Linked DNA regions of Cricetulus griseus. The protein of the gene in region 1 purifies or fractionates together with the protein of each later gene. This does not show direct contact. Links are inferred from orthologs where the notes say so. Each region holds a gene or a part of one and is shown in the gene's direction. Other genes may lie near its edges.

Region 1 (10,688 bases):
TGTAGCTGTGGGTTAGGAGTGAGGCTCCATGGTAGAGGGTGTGCTTTGAATGTACAAGGCTCTGGATTTACTCCTTGGCCCCAGCTTCAAAATACTGATTTAAAAAAAAAAAAAAAGGAAGAACACTTTTTATTCCTTTTATATTTACACTCAATACCAAATCATGAACATTATTCTCAAGTCTTCATAAAAAGCATGACATAACTATGCTAACATAACTTATCCAGACTACATGAAGGACCATCTGCCTGTACTGGGCATTGGAACATTTTATTCAAAATATACTCCTAAACCAGGGAGTATGTTCAGAAGGCTAACATGAGAGATCATTTAAGCCTAGGGCAGCCTGAACAACATAGTAAGAGTGTATCTCAAAGTTCTAAAATTTATCAAATTACTGAACCAGGCTCAAAAGGTCTTCAGGGGGTTTTGGAGAGATGGCTCAGAGGTTATGAGCACTGGCTGCTCTTCCAGAGGGCTTGGATTCAATTCCCAGCACCCACATGGCAGCTCACAACTGTCTATAACTCAAAGTCCAGGGGATCTGACACCTTCACATCAATGCACATAAAATAAAGTTAAATAAATTTAAAAAAAGGTTTTCAGATATTTCCTGTGATTTTGAGATTATGGTTTTGTTAAGCAGGGGATGATAGGAAGTTACAGCCAATCTAATTTGTGATTATTATGATTTTTTTTTTCCCCAAGACAGGGTTTCTCTGGCTTTGGAGGCTGTCCTGGAACTAGCTCTTGTAGACCAGGCTGGTCTCGAACTCACAGAGATCCGCCTGCCTCTGCCTCCCGAGTGCTGGGATTAAAGGCGTGTGCCACCAACGCCCAGCCTGACTCTTAAATTGTAAGTCTTTGTATACATGTTTGATATGATATGTGATTATAATTGTGTTCACTTTTGGGTAAATTTGTGATAACAGCTTTTATAAAAGTAAAGGAGAAAGGAAAGTGTCTTCAAATGAGCAGTTTTAAGCTAGTTGATTCTTAGAAGTTGAAGTCTTCTTAGAGGACAGTGTCACCTGCAATGTTAAGTTCTTTCCAGCAGTTCCTCATGTGTTAGTCAGTAGAGCAAGACATTCCTGAGAAGGAAGTACTAGGTAATTTAGCAGTGCTAATAATAGCCCAACAGTCTATCTTTGTTATTGTTGCTGTGTGTCTTTGCTTTGCTTTTTCTCAAGGCCTTTTAAATGGCTATTGGTGAGGTGCAGATGAGAGATAGATCTTGAAATGACCAACAAACACATGTGTTTTGATAACATAAAGTTCTTCAAGAAATTCATAGTCTTAAAGGAATATATGTGCACATTTACACATGATTGCTGAAATCCTCTGGAAGGTGCTGATGTGGCGGCATACATTATAGTCCTGCACTTGGGAGATGGAGTCTGCAGGATAAAAAGTCAAGGCTGGCCTCACCTACAGAATGATTTTGAGGCCAAAATGGGGTGCATGAGCCTTCATCTCAAACAAACAATCCTTGGAAGAAAGTTCATAATACTTTGGGGACCTTTTGGACTTTTCTAAGACCGTGAAGGTCAATGGGTCATTATTTGACCTACATTTATATATTTTTTTAAAGATTTATTTATTTATTATGTACACAGTGTTCTGCCTACATGTATGTCTGAGTCAGAAGAGAGCACCAGATTTCACTACAGATGGTTGTGAGCCACCATGTGGTTGCTGGGAATTGAACTCAGGACCTTTGGAAGAGCAGGCAGTGCTCTTAACCACTGAGCCATCTCTCCAGCCCTACATTTATATTTTTATTGTTATTTTTGTATCAGGGTCTCACTTTTTAGGTCTGCCTGGTCTCGGTCTTCCTGTCTCAGGCTCCTAAGTTTGGGCATTACAGGTATGTGCATTATGCTTGGCTTTTAAAAAGCCAGTCGTGTCAGTGGTATGTGGATTGTGTCTGCTTACTTTTCGTTTTTTTTTAAGGGTGGGGCGCAGAGTCTCTTTGTGTAAATGTTACTCTGTCACATAGAACCTGTTAGTCTCCATTAAAAATTAGAAAATAAGACTTACTCAAAATTATCTGGTAGTTAACTATTCAGTGGTTATAATTTCTTAGTGGTATAACACGATGGCTCTCATATGTTTGAGATGAGCACTTGAAAGCCCTCTTTATTGATTCTGAGACATTTAAGCTGAGATTCAGCATGGAGGATGCATTTGGTAGGAAAAGAGGCCTCATTCCCACCTGTGTCAGGGCTTTATTCTGTATGGGTTTGAATAGTTATAAGATCTTGAAGAGCTGCAGAAAGATATGTTTAGGGCTGAAAGTGTTACTCAGATGTAGAGAGCTTATCTGGTATGTCAAAGCTTGTGTTCAATCCCTAAGACTGTTTTTCAAAAGCTAATTTACCTGTGTTATCCTAAATTGAAACTGTAAGGGCATTCGTCCCCTTGTTTTAAATTCATCACATGTAGGATACCTGTTTACTTACCCTTATTTTTACTGCTTACTGATGAAACCACATTGGTCTTGAACTTGATCCTCTTGCCTCTGACTCTCCAGTATCTAGCATCTGGGATTACAGGCATGTATCTCCATGCCTGGCTTAGTTTACAGTTATTCTGAAGTATTTACTCTCAAACTAATATTTTCTTGTTTATATGTATTTCTGTTTTCTAATGAGGAATACTAGTGAAAGTGTTTTTCTTTATTTTGACTTTTAGGTAAAGATTAGATGGTTTGTTACAAAAATTGATACTTTCTTTTTAAGTTTATTCAATTCTGCATCATAGCTAATTGATGAAGCTAAAATGCAGATTGGGTATCAATTCCTGTGTTGTCACCTGGGCCTGACATTCTGCAAGAAAAACTTTCAAGGGTCTCGGTGGTGAAGAGATTGAGAAACCAAATGATTACGATTCATGGTCATATGGGTATAGTAGAAGTATATTCAAGGTGAAGATTTCTCTTGAGAGGAGAACCATTGATGCTAGACATGGGTGAGAGCTGCAGATGGCTCCAAAGAGAACCTGACATCTCAACAGAGGTTTGGAGAGTAAGAGCATGTGGATAAGATGGAGAAGATGTGCTACTTATGCCACAGAGTGGTGGAATGGTTAGTGTGCTCAGGGAGAGAGGACCGAAACAGCAAAGGGTCTAGGAAGTCAGTGGAGATTTATTTTTTTGTTGACTAGAAATGACCCATTGTGAAAATAACAGGCAAATGGTGACTTTTAGAAACTGTTTGTTTCATTTCTGTTTGTGTTTTGAAATAGTCTCAGTATGTGGTCCAGGCTGCCTTGGAACTTACCTAGGCTAAGTTGTCCTTACACTCTAAAAATCCTCCTTGCTCTTTGGCCTGACTGCTGGATTATAGGTATGCCTTACCATGCCTGATGGAAATTTTTATATTGGCGCCTAACAGTGTTTTGCTTTAAGATAGCTTGACTTCACAGTATGTATGTGAATCTCTCATACTGTGGTTATAAAATACTAGCAGTAATTGTTTTGAAGCATGCCGGGAATGGCAAAGATATTTGTGTTATGAGACTGTTCTTAGTGCTGCATTCGTTTATTTGGACTGTGAGGTTGAGAAAGTCTGTATTTGTGTGCAAGTCTTAGTTTATATGTATCAGATTCAATCTGAAGTGAACTAGTAACTATTATTTCTATTTTTTACTAACTAAAAATACTTTGGAAATAAAGAAAAACATCATATATCAAAATTAACCAGACCCAAAGACTATACAGTGAAATAACCTTAAAAGACCCATTCCAGGGAGCTGTATCTGCCAGCTTAGTCTCTACCCCCTAAAAGTTCCCAGCTTCCCTGAATACCATATCAAGCGTGTGTGTGTGTGTGTGTGTGTGTGTGTGTGTGTAGATTTGAACTAAATAAGTTAAAATGTTAAAATTTTTCCCAAGGCAAGTAGTATGTCCATTTTGTTAGCACTTTCCTGAAAACAAAAACGGTTCAAACGAGATGATGGATGGAGGCCTAAAGGAGGTGTATTAGAGGAACAGAGCTGATAAAACTGATATTAAAGGGGATTTGTTAGATGGATTATTATATATTGGTATTATATAGTGCCGATAGTTCAACAATGACTGTCTCTCAATGAAAGGCTGAGAAACTGGTAGTTGTTTGAGCCCAGGAGTCTGGGTGTTTCAGCAGTCCCAGTCTGGTGCTGGAGTCTGGGAAGATTCCTGAAGAGCTGCTGGTTTTTAGTATGCTGGAACCCTGAAGAAGTTGTATTTAATACCAGCCACAGGAACAGGGTAGACAAACTTGCCAGCAATGTGCTTTTGCTGATAGACAAAAGGAAAGTTTCCTTCTTCCGTGTCCTTTTATGAGGACTGCCACGAGTTGAGACCCAGATTTAGGGTGGGTCTTCTTACTTCAGTTAATCTGTTTAAGAAGATCCCTTATTGGAGTACCCGGCATCTTGGTGTTAGTTAATTCTAGATGTAGTCAAGTTGACAACGAAGATTAGCCACTACACAGGGATGAGTATATGGACTGAATACATGTAATTCAGACAAATGTTCTTATTTATGATTTCTTTCTCTTGGTATTTTTAGAGAAATATGAAACACAATGGGAGCAGAAATTGTTTGAATAGAAGAAGTAGGTTTGGTTCTCGAGAAAGAGACTGGCTGAGAGAAGACGTGAAGAGAGGCTGTGTTTACCTTTATGGAGCAGACACGACCACTGCCACTACAAACACCACCTCTTCCTCCTCCTCCACATCCTCCTCCTCTTCTGACTTACATCTTGTCCTTTGCACAGTAGAGACACCAGCATCAGAAATATGTGCTGGAGAGGGAAGAGAAAGTCTCTATCTACAGCTTCATGGAGACCTGGTCAGGTGAGGTCTGGGGCTTTTGTCCTTTTTTTGTTATTGATGTTTTGAGTCAAGAGTGGTCCATCCGTCCCGTGTCCCGTGCCTCATGGTCGTCTCAAACTCACAGTTCTTCTGCTTCAGCCTCTTAAGTGCTAGGATTATAGGCATGTACTATTACACTGAGCTGAGCTTAGCTCTGAGTCTTGACAGTGATTCTTTTGTAGGATTAGTAACCCGTGTTTCTGATTGGAAGTGGGCTTTAGGGTTATGATCACATTCTGTAACTGATGGTGATTTGGAGTCACTGGCACGAACAAGATTTGCCCTTGGAATACTTAATGATTTTAAAAATTACCATTTTGTTTGTAGTGTATCCACATGTTTATGTATGTGCTTGTAGAGGGCCAGCCAGCGGTTTAGGTCACATGTTTTCCTCTCTTTTTGAAGATTTTTTAAAAAGATTTATTTATGATGACAGACTTTAAAGATCCCTCTTGGAAGGCCTCACCGTCCCTGAGAGAAGAAAGGGGTTGGGATGGGGAGGGGAGAGGAGGGGAGGGAGAGGGAACTGAGATTGACATGTAAAAGAAGCTTGTTTCTAATTTAAATGTATTATGTATACAGTGTCTGCATGTGTGCCTGCAGGCCAGGGGAGGGCACCAGATCTCATTACAGATGGTTGTGAGCCACCATTCGGTTTCTTGAAATTGAATTCAGGACCTTTGGAAGAACAGGCATCTCTCCAGCCCTTGAAGATTTATTTTTATTTTTAATTATGTTTAGGTGTACGTGTTTGTATGTGTGCTTGTGCACAGGTGCTGCCTGACTGGGTGCTGGGAACCTAACTTAGGTCCTCTGGAAGAACAGCAAGTGTGCTTAACTGCTAAGTCATCTCTCCAGTCCCTGTTTTTTGACAACTGCTGGACTGACTGGTCCATGAGCCTTGGATATCTGCCAGTCTGTGCCCCATAGTACTAGTGTTCCAGGCACACGTCAGTCATCACACCTGGCCTGTGTGTGGGTGATGGGGCTCCAAACTCAGATCCTCTTGCTTACATGGTAGATACTTTACACAACGAGGATTGTCCCAGTCTCTTAGTTTATGATTCTCGAGTTTAACACTATAATGAAGGAAAGCTTGATGGTTCTTCTATTTGGAATACACTGTAGGTCTTATATACAAATTTAAACATTTTAATAGTTACCTTTTGGGGAAGTATAACTAGAAAAAAACTGAAGTGTACAAAGGGTACAGAGTAAAAAGTCCTTCTCTGTCCACCATTCCCTAGCTGTCCAGGCCTTTTCATTGTTACTGTCAGGTTCTTATACATTCAAGCATACACATGCTCGTGCCTCTACATCCACACTTTAAAAGCAATGATGCTGTATACAAAACACTGTTGACTTAATAGCTGAAAGGTATTTCCATATTCATATTTATATAAATATAATTTATTTACTGACTACATGACTATTCTACTTTATAGGTCACCATAGTTTTAGTTGATCTTCCTAATCTCTCATTATGGATATTAACCTGCTACCTGTTTTTAGCACAGCAGATAGTGCCATGGTTGAATTCCTCTGTACCTGCTATCTCACAGAGGAGTCTCTGGAGGGTAAGCCCCTAGAAGTATAATATTCTTGGTCAAAGGATATGACCATTTATAATTTTGATAAATATTTCCAACTTCTTCATAGAGGTTATATTTCCATCTAAAATATAAAAAAATATGGGGCTAGAGAGATTGCTCAGCAGTTAAGAGCATTTGGTTGCTCTTCCAGAGGATCTAGGTTCTTTTCATAGCACCTACATGGTGGTTTCCAGTGCTGGGATCAAAGGCATGCACAAGCACCACCAGGTAGCATTAAGTGTCTTCTGTAAGTGCAGACACATACTCTTGAATGAGCTGAACCTGCTTATAAAGGATCATAGTTATCAGTTTTTGTTTGATACTTTATTTACTTAAGGTTCTGGGTTTAAACCCAAGACCTCAACCATATTAGACAAGCACTGTATACTGAACTATGCCTCTAGCCTTTGTTTTAAAATTAGAGAATCATGAAGTCAACTTTTCAAAGACAATCATTTTCCAAGCCTTTTTGGAGCTGAATAGGAAGTTTTTTGTTTGTTTTTGAGACAGAGTCTCGTATAGCTGAAACTGGCCTTGAATTCCTGATCCATCCTTCTTCTACCAAATGCTGGGGTCAAAGGTGGGCACCATAACAGGCTCAAATAGGCATTTTTGCCATTCTGTTGTGTTAGTATTTATTAATTAGTGAATTTGAGCATATTACACAAGCTTAAAAGTAGTTTGTGTCATAAATTTTTATATAAATATGAAGAAAAATAGTCTTGTAGTTTTGTGCTGTGCATCTGAACTTTTTAATTCAACTTAAAAACAAAAGCATTAGTCCTGTAAATGTTTCATTACACTTTTCTGTCCTTCCTAGAAAGAATTCCAAGCTGTGGATTGAGCATTATTGAAGTGTGGTGGGGAAGTGAAGCTAATCACACCTCAGAGGTGTGATAATAGTAGTAACACCTTTAGCTGAGCCAAAAGCTGATGCCTCTTTAAAAGTGTGAACTGAGGTTTACTGTGTATTCCTTTTAGGATCTGTAGGAAATCCTGAAAAAAGTAGCTTAGCATTTGAATGTTTTCTCTGTTCCCAAGTTAACTACATTTCCTAAATCCTTTTGTGAAACAAAAGGATCAGACTGGTGATCCTTAGGCTCTTCTAAATCTTAATACTGGTCTGATCTAATTTTATCAGTTGGAAAGCCTTGACCTAGATTATAGCAGGTAGTGATGGATGGTGCTCACTTATTTAGGCAGATGACTTACTCATTTACTAATATTTGCATTAGAAGATGCCATGAATGTGAAGAAACACCCCTCATTACTTTGTTCCCACTAGTTGTGTAATTAGTTAAGAATTTGAATGTGATATAGTTTATTTACATATGAGAATGTAAACTGTAATTAAGGTGGAATGTTTATCTTTTGTTAGCCCTGTAGTTTTGATAATTAATAGTGAAGTGTATCTCTTTGAAGATACAGTTTATTAGAAAATACTGAAAACACTGTTGAACTCTGGATGGATAGAATGGGTATGCTTTCATTACTGGAGTAAGAGCTCCAGACTTGACATTTGAGGAGGAGGAAGAGGCTTCCTGGTCTCAACTAACTTTAAGTGCTTATTTGTGCTAGTTGGTGCTGTTAGCATATATTCATTTTCTCATCACATCTTTACAAGAACTTTGATGTAGTCTTCTTCCTTTCATGTGAGGAAAATTGATGCTTTGAGATGGTTCAATGACCAGCCCAAGGTCAGGCAGATACTGCTAGACAGTTGAAATGACTGATGGACTTCCTTCAGAGTAAAAGGTCTTGGAGGAGAGGAGCTGGCAAAGCAACTCCCCTTATCCAGTTTTACTGCCTAATCATGTTTGCCTCATTAGATCTCTTCTAACTTAGTGGTTAATTGCTTGAGTTGGTCTTCTATTATCTAATCAGGAGTAGGTCCTTTCTTCAGAGTAGCCCTTGGTAAAGTAGTTGGTAATCGCTGAGGCAGTATTGTTTTTTTGAGAACCTTTCCTACTGATCACTGCTTGTTGAAGAAATTCTGGAAAATGAAACAGCATAAAGAAAAATAATAATATTCGCTGTGTATGCTTTATGTAGATTACCTCATTAAATCCAGTCTTGTGAAGGAAACTGTTTCTTTTGTGTAGGCATAGTAAGTGATATCTGAGAGATTACTCTTAGCTAAGAGTGATCAGCCAGAAAGTGTTTGAACTGTAGTTTGAACCCTGGCATTCTACTAGAGTATGAGATCCCATCCTCACAACTTATATTGGTAACTTTTATTTTTCACCAAATAATTTACAATCACACACATACGTTTTAATAATTGCATATTTGAGCTCATATCATATATCCAATTTTATATCCTTATAATTCTTTTAGTATAAGATCATCTTAATTTTATTGTTATTAAGAATTTGACTTTAGACACGAGTTTTAATAGTTTAAGGCTATTCTATATTACAAGTATATTATAAGTTGTTTAAAAATTGAGTACTGGGGGGAAGGGAGATGACTCAGCATGTAAAGGTACTTGCTGCCAAGCCTGACAAATTGGATCCCTGGTACTCACATAGTAGACATGCATACCATGATGTGTATATACACATATGCACTAAAACAGTTTTTGCTTTTTTGTTGTTTTTTTTTTTTTGGTTTTGTTGTTTGTAAATGGAGTTCTTAATTGGTCTAAGTAATAAAAACCCGGAGTCAGATATAGAGGAAAATGCTGAGAGATCAGAGAGAAAGAGCAAACCACCACCACACCTTAGCGTCTCAGCAGACAAGAGAGCAAGTTGCTGTTTCTCCCTGCTTATATCCTGTTTTTGGACAGCTACCTAACTTCCTGTCTGTCTGTACAGACCTCCAGACTTCTTTGGTCAGCTAGTGGCAAGTTCTATTCTCTAACCTTCAGACAGGCTTTATTTGTAAAAGTAAGATATCACCACAGTTGTTGTTTGATACAGTTTTTCTTTGTGTAGCCTTGGCCCTCATGAAACTCACTCTGCATAGCAGGCCAGCCTCAAACTCAGAGATCGGCCTGCCTCTGCTTCCCAAGTGCTGGGATTAAAGGTGTACCCCACCATCACCCAGCTCTCCCCACCCCTTCCCCAGTAAAGCTGGGTGTGTTGGCTCACAATTGTGATACCAGTACTTGGAAGGTGAAGGCAGGAAGATAAGATTTCCTGGTCACCCTTAACTAAATATGAAGTTGGAGCCTAGCCTGGGCTGCCTGAGACTTTATCTCCAAAACTGAAAAAATAATTGAAATTTAATATATAGTAGAGGCTTAGTTTGGATTATGGAATGAAAAAGTGTGATTCAAATCTTGTCCCTGACAATTTACCATATATGTACATAATGTTCAGTGTCTTAGGGTTTGTAGAATGGAGAATGTTTTCATTGTTTATCATGAGGATTAAATCCATTGCACCTGCTATGAAAAGTGGTGAATTACTTGTAACACTTTAATAGTTCCTCCTAGGAACCTTGTTAAAAATATAGATTGTGATTCAGAAGATATAGGATAGTCTGAGATCATACTTCTAATTTGTTTGATCTGTTGGTTTTTGTTAGATAGGATTTTCTATGTAGTCTTAATTGGCCAGGTACTCTCTGTTGCTCATTGTAGCCTTTAGCTCATGGCAGTCCTGCCTCAGCCTTGCCTTCTGAGTGCTGGGGTCACAGGTATTCATCACCACTCTTGACTTTTGAGATTGTAGCCCTACTAAACTCCTAAGTGATGCACAGCACTGTAAGTATCAATGAAATAAAGCACTTGGAATGTTGTCTGGTACCACCTGATCAGTACTCATGCGTGGGCTACATGTGTGCTAAGCATGTGCTCAGCCATTGAGCTATTTTCCCAGCCTGTGCTATGTAGGTTGTTTCAAATCACTCAACTCTTAGAAGTAATATGCACTAGCTAAACCACTGCTTGTAACTTGGAAAAAGTATTTCCCTCTCACTCTGTTTGTTTATTTAGTTTACTGTTTTCTTCTTCCAATAATGGGCTTATGTGATGGTTTGAATAAGAATGGCCTCCACAGGTTCATATATTTGACACTTATTCACCAGGGAATGGCCCTATTTGAAAGGATTAGAAGGATTAGGAGGTGTGGTTTTGTGGAGGAAGTATGTCACTGGGGGTGGACTTTGAGGTTTCAGAAGCCCATGTCAGGCCTGAGTCTCTCTGTGCCTATGAATCAGAATGTAGCTTTCAGCTGCTGCTCCATCACCAGTCTGTATGTGGCCATGTTCCCCATCATCATGATAATGGTCTGA
Region 2 (10,688 bases), on another chromosome or scaffold:
GCAAGTACCTTACCCCAACCAGCAATCTCTTCTTTGGGATGGCAATGCTGGTAAGGTGAGGCTGGAGGCCCCAAAGCTTTCCCTTTACTCCTCCCTCCTCTTCCCCTCCCTTGCCTTTTGTACCCCCAGCTGAGGATTTGGGTTTCAGAGCAATCTAGCCACTACCCTCCCCAACCCAGTAGTATCTCAGAGTTACATGCTTGTTCCTTAGTAGCAAGAACAATGGCAAAGTCCTGGTATGCTTGGGGACTTAGTGAGAACAATGGCAACATCCAGGTCTGGGCAGGCACTGGGAAGTTCAAAGTGTGGCTTTATACTGTGTCATTGGGCCTCAGCAGCAACCCAGAGAAGCAGGTAGCAATAAACACCTCTAGAAAGGAAGACCCTGAGACCCAGAAATGGAAATGATTCGCCCCAAGTCACAAGCTAGTAGGAGCACTTTGTTGCCCCATAGGGTAGGTGGCAACTAGGGTTCCAGCCAGTGGAGAACAGGCTTGCCCCAGGCTTGGAGTTGGGGTCAGGGTGGAGCTCGGGTAGGGCTTGCAGAGCCTCCAGCTTCTGTAGGCTCGTGTCCAGTGTCTGTCCATCTGTCAGCCTGTGTCATGAAAGCATCAAGACTGTAGCTTCAGAGCTGAGCTGCCCAAAGAGGACGGAAGATATTGAAATTGTCCCAGCTAATGCCAGGGTGCACAAAAGACACTAGCTTATGTCTTTCAGGGGAAAGAGGGGTGGCGGTGAGATGGCTCAGTGGGTCAAGGCACTTGCCACCAAGTCTGATGACCTGACTCCCAATTGTGAAAGGAGAGAACCAACTCTCACAAGTTGCCCTTTAACCCCGTTTGTGGGCTATGTCATACTCATGCTCTCTCTCACACACACTAAATAAATAAATACTGTTAAAAGGAAGAGGCCAGGCGGTGGTGGTGCACCCAGGAGGCAGAGGCAGGCAGATCTCAGAGTTTGAGACCAGCCTGGTCTACAGAGTTACACAGAGAAACCCTGTCTCCAAAACAAAACAAAACAAAAAATCAACAACCCAAAAAGTAACAGGCCCTGCTTTCCAGGCCACGGTCTGACCACATTGGCCCAGCCCTCTTTCATGGTCTCCTCCCCATATGAATCCTTGGGGGATTAGACACACACACACACACACACACACACACACACACACACACACACACACACCTCTGTTGCTCCCTATATCCTTGGCTGGATCTAGAGCTAAAAGTCCCATCTACCCCAGGACTCTTCCCCCAGCCACCTGCTGGGTTTCAGGTTATCAGGGTCACATTTGGCTGGGCCATTTGGCTCACTGGAGTCGAGGAGGGAGCCCACTAGAGATGAAAACCTTTACTGTAAACAAACTGGCCAGCTTTCAGTAAACAGCTATCCATGCTCTCACAACAGAGAACAGATACAGGGGCCAGGTGCCCACTCATGAGTCTCAGGTGCCCAGCCAGGCCTAGGAGGACCAGATGAGCCGTGGGTGGAAAAGGATAAGACCAAACACATGAGTAGTAGAATCCAGGAGGGAACCTAGCCCAGGCAAGACGGTGGCTCACCCAGAGCCAGTCGGCTTACTTCAGTGCTAAGTGTCTATTCATATCTGAACCCTGGGCCAGATTCTCTTGCCTTGCTCTGTGGGCTCCAATCACCACTGGAGGAGAGTGGAGTTGGAGAAGGTGGTATTGGGACATTGTGGAATGACATGGCTGCTTCCTACATCCCCACAGCGTGAGCTCCGGCCTCGGCTCTGCACCATGAAGAAAGGCCCCAATGGCTATGGCTTCAACCTGCACAGCGACAAGTCTAAGCCAGGCCAGTTCATCCGAGCAGTGGACCCAGATTCCCCCGCAGAGGCCTCTGGACTCCGAGCCCAAGACCGCATTGTGGAGGTGATACCCTGTACAACATTCTCTGTACTCTCCCAGGCTCTTCCTTCCTGATCTTTGCTGCTTGGGGGCAGCCTCGTACCGTCTGTGGTTTGATTAACCCATGGGATGTGGGCAGTGCAGACAGAGGTGCTGGACGGTGGGCAGCTGCACAGGTAGAGTAGAGGCACAGAAAGGATAGGTGCTAAGTGGTAAATGGGACTAGACAGGCTTAATGGTTCTGCTTTACCAAATGCACACTCTACACCCAGGATTTATCTGCCAAAATCCAGGTAGATGCCAGAGGCCACCAGCACGGCCTTCCTGATGCCTGAGCACTCTGGGCCAGGCACAAGGATGGACCCAACACCCTCTCCTGAGTTCAGCTTTGAGACACTGTTCTTCGGCTGTGCTCACGACAGAGGAAATGTGAACTAAATGCTTGGGCTGGTCCCAGAATCACAGTGTGAGAACCTTAGAGCCACAGATCAGCTCTTCCAAGACTTCTCACTTTACACGTGAGAAAACCAAGGCCCAGAGAGGGAGGTCAGAGGAGAGCCCAGCCCGGGCTCCCAGGCCTCCCCTTGCTCACAGCTGTGTTTGCATAGTCTCCTCTGGGTATTTTCTTTGGCGCTTCCCATTTGTCTTGCTTCCCAACTGACTGTCAGAGAACTGCTGGCTGGCTGGGTTCGGGACTAGGCACATGTGGGGATTCAGCATTCCCGGGTGGGACCTCTTCCACCTGCCCTCCCCAGCACTGAGACCTGTGTGGGTGACCCCCGTCCCTGCCCTGCCTCACAGGTCAATGGTGTCTGCATGGAGGGCAAGCAGCATGGGGACGTGGTATCTGCCATCAAGGCTGGAGGGGATGAGGCCAAGCTGCTGGTGGTAGACAAGGAGACTGATGAGTTCTTCAAGAAGTGCAAAGTGATCCCGTCACAGGAACACCTGGATGGTGAGTGCACAGCTGGGTGTGTGGCCAAGTGCCTAAGACTTGGCCAGAAATGGGGGGTAGCTTCTCGGATTGTAAGGAGAGACCCAATAGCACAGGTTGGAGGAGAGTAGAAGCTGGGATGGGCCATGAGCGTCTAAAGGTGGCAGCTGATGGTAATTAACCACAATTAACATGAAGGAGGGATGAGATTCAGTACCAAGCACGGCCTGGGCCTCTCCCTAGTCCAGTGAGTTCTCAGACTGACGGTCCCTCTGAGAGGAAAGAGTTAACTCTGGAGCAGCCTCCAGCCTTTGCTGGGCAGATCAGAGTCCAGTGACAGGGGCCCAGTGCTCCCCTCCCCCTTTGTCAAGTTGCCTTGGAAACTCAGGCTTGCTGGCTCTGGAGAGTAGTGGGTCCCCTTCAGTCCCTGGGCCCCTGCCCTCTCCCCCTCCCCCACTCTCATCTTGCCAAGCCTGGCACCTCTTCCTGTTCAAGCCAAGCCAAAGTGAGTAGGGCCACCACACCACACCACACAGCAGGAGGGGCTGAGCACCCCTACTCCTTAGTCCAGACTTTCTGCCTGGGAAGATGGCTCTGGAAGTGTGCTCTGTTGTGCTATGCCGAAAGTGAAACCTGTCTGGACTTTGCAATGGGTTCACATAGCTCAGATCTCCGAGGCGGATGCAGTGTGGAGGATTCACGGGTCTCAGAACCTAATATACAGAGGCACCACACCATCTTCACTAGTCTCTGGAGGTGGACCAGCCTTCCCCCAAGCCGAAAGCCGGGGGCTGACTTTCTCTCTCACTGGCCTCTCCTGACTCTGCTCAGGACATTGCCTTTGCACCTCCTTGTCCCCTCATTTCCAGATGCCAGACAGTTGCCATTATTGTCTTTCCAAGGCAGCAGGTGCCAGCTATATAATCTGAGGTGTGGCCCTAAATCTGCCTTCAGCCCCTGAGAGGTGTGAATACCAAGGCCCAGCCCTGCCCTAGGGTGGATGTGGGTGGAGGTCAGTTCTCTCTTCTACCATCTGGGTCCTGGAGATCCAACTCAGGTAATCAGGTCACCACTGAGCCATCTCTCTGGCCACACACAGGTGATCTGTTTTTTGACTGGCTACCCTAGAACTCCATCCCATCTTAGCGCTCCTGCAAGCCTGGCATCTTGGCATTCTGGGTCAGATGTCAAGCTAGGCCCAGAAAGGTAGCTCAGTGGTAGAGCACTAATTAGTATACGGAGGGCTGTGTGTTTGGCCCCCAGCACTGCACCAAGTATTACTGTTAAAGGGAGCTGTCTTGTCTATCACAAGTTGCCAGTCAGCATCAAGTAGCCCTCCTCAAGTGTGATCCTCCTATGCACACACCCAAAAAAGTTCCTCCAGTTTGCCAAATGAGACATTGTAAGAGTAAGTTGTAGTTGAAAATACCAAAGTATGGCACTGTAGTGGGGTCTTGTTTTCTGAAATTGTCAAACAATCTTTCTGGGCACTGGGTCATCAAAATGTCAAATTACATACAGTAGGTTTCAGCCAAAAACACTGTGGCCTTTGACCTCCAGTATGAGGTCTGGTGAGCTGCCCAGGGCATAGCTCTGGCCTCCTCTGCTCTCCTTCCCCAAAGTCTTTAGACTGACCTTTGCTGTCTCCCTCATCTAGGCCCCTTGCCTGAGCCCTTCACCAATGGAGAGATACAGAAGGTAAGGGGGTCCTCTACCCACTTCTCAATGGGGACAGGGAGAGTGGCAGCATGGTTGGGAGTCTGGCTCAGGCTGACACATCAGGGTCCAGTTCCAGTTTCTTCCTGAGCTCCAATCCATAGGACTGCCAGGGTACCCCAGCCCGTCAGGGGTAAGGCTATCACTTGGGAAAGGCTTGCCTGGGGCCCCTCGGCAGCCCCCGCCTCCAACTCCCACCATACAGAAGAGGCCATTCTTCCCCCCAAGAACAGAGCCTCAGTGTCTGGCTGTTGGTCCTGCTACTTCCAGTCTGAGTTGGAAGAACAAAGTCCCTCCCCTTGGGCAGAAGGGAAGGGGGTGAGGCTGGGAGCCAGCTGAGGCCATGGAAGGACCCAGGAAGGGGCTGAGTGCCAGGCTCACGCCCAGCCAAAACCTCTACTCTGGCATGGGCTGTCTCAGAATCAGACCACAGAGCCTGGAGTTGGCAAGAGCACTTTGAAGGCTTCCTTACTCCACAGGGACCTAGTGGAGACAAGAATCAAGCCATGGTCCCCACCTTTTGCCACCCATCCTTGGTTCTAGAACTTTCTGTCATCTTATTCCCTAAAGACCCTGGTTGGCTACTTTGGGGTTAGGACCTGGAGAGGGCTGCAAGAGGTTAAGGGATTGTATATGCTCCTCATGCCTAACAGGAGGACCTTGGTGGTCCTGTGCTCCAAGAAGCCCCTCTTGGGTTGCTGATCCAAAAAAAATGAGTCAGCGCTCAAAAGCTCAAAAGCGCTGGGGAGGATGAGAGATTCCACAGTCCCGCCCCCGCCCAGGTGATGGCTGGGACCAGGCTGCCCCAATCCTTTTAGGAATGCAGCAAGATAAATCTGGAATCTGGGTGGGTGGCCAAGCCTGAGCGAGGACCCTTCTCTCGTAAGGGTTCTTTTCTCAGCCCCTGCCAACCCATACTTTTTCCTTTCTGTGCCAGGAGAGCAGCCGTGAAGCCCTGGTAGAGGCAGCCTCAGAGAGCCCCAGGCCAGCCCTGGTGAGATCCGCCTCCAGCGATACCAGTGAGGAGGTAGGCAGGCCCTGTGGGGGCTGGTGGCTGAGTTACAGGAAGCCATTTCCAGGCCACTCTGGTTCCTGGCACACTAGCCTGCCTTTGAGGTCACATGGGGAGGTGCAGTTTGTTCTTGTGACCTGGCTACTTTGACCATGGCCCCAAGGGATCCACCTCTCTGAGGCCAAGGACCGGGGAGCCCTTAGGGGTAGACACTGACTCTTTCCTCCTTTTCACAGCTAAATTCCCAAGACAGTCCCAAGAGACAGGAGTCTACAGAGCCCTCATCTACCTCCTCCTCCTCCGACCCCATCTTGGACTTCAACATCTCCTTGGCTGTGGCTAAAGAGAGGGCCCACCAGAAGCGCAGTAGCAAGCGGGCCCCGCAGATGGACTGGAGCAAGAAAAATGAACTGTTCAGCAACCTCTGAACACCGGCCACCCCTGGCCAGCGCTGGAGAGTGGACCAGCACACCCACCCACCCACCCAACCTAGCTCCTCCTCCTCCCCCAATCACCCACCAATCAACATTCAAATCAGCATCCCCCCCCCCACACCTTCCTGACACATCTGAGTTTCCTAGGAATTCTGTTCTTGCCCACCTTAGGGAAGGGGAAGGTTTCTGTCCCATCCCCTTACTCCTCCCTGAGGGCTTCATCCTACCCAGTGTACCCCCACCAGTCTGCCTAGGACATCACCGGGACCTGCACCAAGTGTGGACCTTTGGACCTCCCTCGACTACATGTGATGACCAAGTCCAGGGCTGACCAGGGACTTGACTGTTGCAGCCATTGCTCATAAGGGTCAGGGTGCCCAAGGTCCTCACAGCTATGGTTTGGCCTTCTTAGGTCCATTTGATTTTTTTTTTTTTTTTTTAGAGTGTAGCACTGCAGAATTTAGAGGGGCTCTTTTAATGATTCTTGTGATTTTCCTGGTTGTTTGTACCCAGAGCATGGCAACAGCCTCATCCTTAAATTTTGGTTTCTACTCTCACCCTGAACGACCTGGGTGGCACGGGGAAACCCTGGCAGCCTCTGCCTGTACTGAGCCAGGTGCCACCACTGTAAGGACATGTCTTCAGAAATTCACTGGTTCCTTTAAGCAGCCTGAGCCTGTGTGTCTTCCTTTGGAGCTTTGCCTCATACCTTCAGGTCTAAGAGAGTGGGCAGTGAGCAGTACTCCTGGAGGACCATCTAGGGCTCCCTGGAACTCTAAGCGGGAGTGACTTTTCATCTACGCAAAAGTCCACAAGGCCCTCCAGTTCTGTCAGGGCACCCTGGTACATGGGACAATAGGGATGTGTATGGGGACTGGGAAGGGGAAGCTGAGATCCACACACAGCTAGGGCTCCAAGGCTCCTCATTCTAGATGTGTGCTACAAGTCTTACTACTACAGAATTGGGTTCAGGATGTGAGGATGGCTTTTGTCCCTGTCCTGTCCCTTCCTGTCCTGTCCAGCTGTCATCCTCATCCATCCACCCCCCCACCCCCGCTCGCACCCCCACACACAAGGGGTACAGGATTCTCAGCAGTCTGAGCCTGCCGCAGACACCCTCTTATCTGCCCAATGGCCTGATTGGAAGGCACATAAGCAGCACAGGAGAAAACTGGTCCACTTAGCTGCAGGGCACATTGCCTTTCTGCCAGGAGGCCCTTGAATACCCAGACTGCTGGACCAGGTCCTGGGACAGGTGTTCAAAGATGAAGGGGAGGTGACTCCATTCACTGATTTCACAGAAAGACCACTTAGAACCAGGTTGCTGGGCTGAAAGGAGCAAATGAGGAAGACAATGGCTCTGGGCGAGAAGCCCTGGAGCCCTCTCTCTGGGTTGGGAGAAGGGCCATTCACTATCTGGCCATCTCAGCATTAAGGTCTGGATTCCAGCAGCTTTAAACCATCCAGAGCCCTTATCACAGTCCCTATCGTCTTGTACGTGCCTGCTCAGCTGGGCCTGGCCTCCCTCATCCACCCACACTTCTACCCTTTGACCCCAGGTGGAGGCCCCCAGGCTGGTGTAGCAGGCCTAAGCATTGCCCCACAAGGCTTGAAGAAGCCCCTCCCTACCTCACCTGCTGGGGTGGAGAAGCTGTGGGGGACCTTTGGCTGGAAGCTGGACCGGAACTCCTGGCTAAGGTCTGGAGCAGAGTCCAAAAGGAGCCAGTTTTAACCCTTGCGATCTGGGGTAAAGATGTCAAGACCAGGACCTGGAGGTCTTGGTAAACTTTATGCAAAGACATCTCACAAATGCACTTCTAACCTCTGTCAGAGCTGTTTTGAAAATATGCCTGGCCTTTCTTGGTGACAACCTCAGATAACGACAGGGTATGGGGACAGTTAGAAGTCAAAAGCTTGAGGGGTCGCACAATGTGACACCCTCCTGCAGACCCTAGAGAACTTTGCCAGCGGACTGTCCATCCCAAACCTGTGCCTCTGCTGCCCCCTAATGGCCAGGTTGGATGCAGCTGCTGGAGACAGGGTAATGAGCTGACAGGAAGGGGAAGAGCAATGGCCTCTCACCTGCAGCAGGCTCCAGGCTTCTCTGACAGGGATGCTCCCCAGACACAAGGAGCTGTATCCAGAAGTCCTCCCCTCAGACCTGTCTGGCTCCAAAAAGCTGAAGGCAGGACCAAGGCCAGCAGGCAGAAGAGCCAGCCCCCTCCTTCACAGGTCACCTATCTTGCCAGCTGACAAATCCTTGCCAGGATTTAGCTACCCTGCCCCAGCCGTCAGCATGAGAAGGATGAAGGAAGGAACTAGGGAAGGTGCCTAAACGAGTGTTTTACTCCACCGGGACCCCAGGAAAGGCTGGCTTTCTGGCTCCCAGTTCCCACGTCCACCCTAGCCTCGGTGGACTCCAGCCATCTGTCTGTTCAGTGCAGCCATAATCAGGCCGGGGAGACTTCCTGGCTGCTGCCAGCCAGAGGAGGCCCAGGTGGGCTTAGGAGGGTCTGGAGCAGCCTGAAGACACTGTACATGACTCTCCCATGCAGCTGTCTGGCCTCGGGAGTGGGTGGCTCCAGGTCTGCTCACACAGGGTGGCTGCCACAGGCTCTGCCAACTCGACTCTATAGGGCTTCTCCTCCACGTGGCTGGTCTGCTCCAGAAGCCACTGCCGCTCTGCCTCAGTCACTGCCAGTCTGAGTGTCACCTCCTGGAAGACGTTGCTCACTGCCACCTGTAGGAGCCCGGAGAGCAGACCTAGTGTTAGAGCCGAGTTCTAACACCAACAGCTCTACTTCCCTAGGCCTCCCCAATGGATGCCCTTACCTGCTTAAAATGTAGTTTCTGGAACATCCGGATGCTAGGCTCATTTTCTTGCCCAATTTTGGCCTCAAACTTGGTCAGACCTAGCTTCGTCACTCCTCCAGAGTCATTGGGAGAAGGCAAGCAGTAAGATGAAACCTCCGCTCTTCTAGCCCCCTGCCCCAGTCTGCCATCCGCTGCCTCCCTTGTGCCCGAAGAAGGCACAGCTAAGGCTGACCCACTTGCATTAACTCTGGCTTACCATAGGACATCATCAGGAGAGACGCCTCGGTGCCAAGGCCCTGGCCCCTGCAGCTGGGCTCTAGGAGAAAGGACAGTGTGCTGGGACCAGGGACCAGGGACCAGGGACCAGGCTCCAGTATACTTTACAGGCACTGGGTCACTGGTATGCCATCGGAAAAGAACAGCACAGGCAGTGAGAGAAGGAAGGCATGAGGCTCCCAGCAATCTGAGCCCCCTGTTCCCTTCACCAGGGAGCTCTTGGGAAAAGCAAAGGACCAAAAGATGCAGAGGCAGAAGGGGCTCCTCCACAGCTTCTGAATCGCTTCTCTTTGGAGGATCCCCTCCTAAGCATAGAACAGATGGAGTTTTGGAGACTAGAAACTCAGCGGTTTTGGGATGGGGAGATGGTGGCTCAATGGTAAAGTGCTTACAAGGAAGACCAGAGTTTGATCCCCAGAACCTGTGTAAAAAGGCCAGGTGTGGCAGCATGCATTTGAAGCCCAGTACTGGGGGAGCACAGCCAGCCAGCCTAGTCTACTTGGCAAGCTCCAGGCTGATGAGAAACCCTGTCTCAAAACAACTACAAAAACAAAAAACAAACACAACCTGAAAAGATGGCATTGCGGAACAATAGCACATATGCAGGCATGCGAGCATGCGCGAGCGCGCGCACGCACGCGCGTGCGCGCACACACACACACAGAGGTTAAGTTCATACCAAGTATATGGGAGAAAGTATGAACCCAAGGGTTAATCACTATGCTGGGTGTGGGACAGGATAGCAAGCTGCCAGTCAAGAGCTAGCTGCGCACAGCTGACTGAGCTACCCTGGGCGCCTACTAAGTTCTGTGAAGTTCTGGCTAGGCCAAGTGGGACAAACCTGCAATCATGACCTCGATCTCCCCCAAGGTGGGGTCTTCCAGATCTGTGAGGAAGAGGTTCACATCTCCCACCATGCAGCTCTCCTCAGGGGGGCGAGGCTGGGCCTGCCACTTCTCGGCATCCAGCACAATGAAGGTGCACTCTGAGGGTGGAGGTAACAGTTAGGGCCTGCAGTCTTCAAAGGAAAGAGGTGAGGATGGTGTTCCCACCCAAGTCAGAGAACAGCAGGAGAAAAGGAGCCCAGAGCCTGGTACAGGGTTCCAAGTCTGCCTTTGATCTGAAGGGGGAGACGGCCTTGTCCAAGAGGTGTCTGTACTCAAAGGAGCAAGGGACACAAAGAGTAGGTGAGGGACTGGGCCACTATGTGTGTCAAGGGACATGAGAGCAGGGCCTAGATTAACAGCTAGAAATCTAACTGCTTTATTATCTCTAAATCCCTCCAAGCCGGGTGTCCGCTCAGGAAACAGGACAGCAGAGCCAACCACAGGCACCACTTCAAGGATAAGCAACTTCCAAACATCTTGGCACAGTGTGTGTGGGGGGAGGGCAGGAGCTGGGAGATGAGAAAGGAAGGGCGAGTGGAGGCTGCCCGGCGGGGGGAGGGGGGGATGTGGTTGGGGGGGTAGGCAGGGCACTCCTCACTGTCTTCATCTTCACACCAGCTGCACTGCATCTCATATTCCTGCTCTAGGGTCAGCAGCTCTGAGGCTGTCAGGTGCCGAAGTTCCTCTGATTTCATCCACTCATGGTACCTGCAGATTGGGGTTGGGGCAGCAAAGACTTGGTGT

The links. The genes of interacting proteins can lie anywhere in the genome.
Region 2: the proteins of Phlpp2 (region 1) and Slc9a3r1 purify together in Homo sapiens (co-immunoprecipitation; 3 studies listed by BioGRID and IntAct, with this or other methods). This does not show direct contact. The link is inferred for Cricetulus griseus from reciprocal best matches to the Homo sapiens genes PHLPP2 and NHERF1.

The regions. Positions count from the first base shown.
Region 1 is NC_048596.1:186,236,084-186,246,771, forward strand, and holds part of Phlpp2 (PH domain leucine-rich repeat-containing protein phosphatase 2), read left to right. Parts: intron 1-836; exon of another isoform or gene 837-856; intron 857-4,552; coding exon 4,553-4,839; intron 4,840-10,688. UniProt on the Homo sapiens protein: Protein phosphatase involved in regulation of Akt and PKC signaling.
Region 2 is NC_048600.1:127,783,786-127,794,473, forward strand, and holds the end of Slc9a3r1 (Na(+)/H(+) exchange regulatory cofactor NHE-RF1), read left to right. Parts: intron 1-1,733; coding exon 1,734-1,895; intron 1,896-2,672; coding exon 2,673-2,826; intron 2,827-4,462; coding exon 4,463-4,503; intron 4,504-5,458; coding exon 5,459-5,548; intron 5,549-5,769; coding exon 5,770-5,961; 3' UTR 5,962-6,641; downstream 6,642-10,688. Other genes in the region: Nat9 (N-acetyltransferase 9), read right to left, coding at 8,471-8,707, 8,800-8,903, 9,038-9,097, 9,899-10,042, 10,543-10,652. UniProt on the Homo sapiens protein: Scaffold protein that connects plasma membrane proteins with members of the ezrin/moesin/radixin family and thereby helps to link them to the actin cytoskeleton and to regulate their surface expression. Necessary for recycling of internalized ADRB2.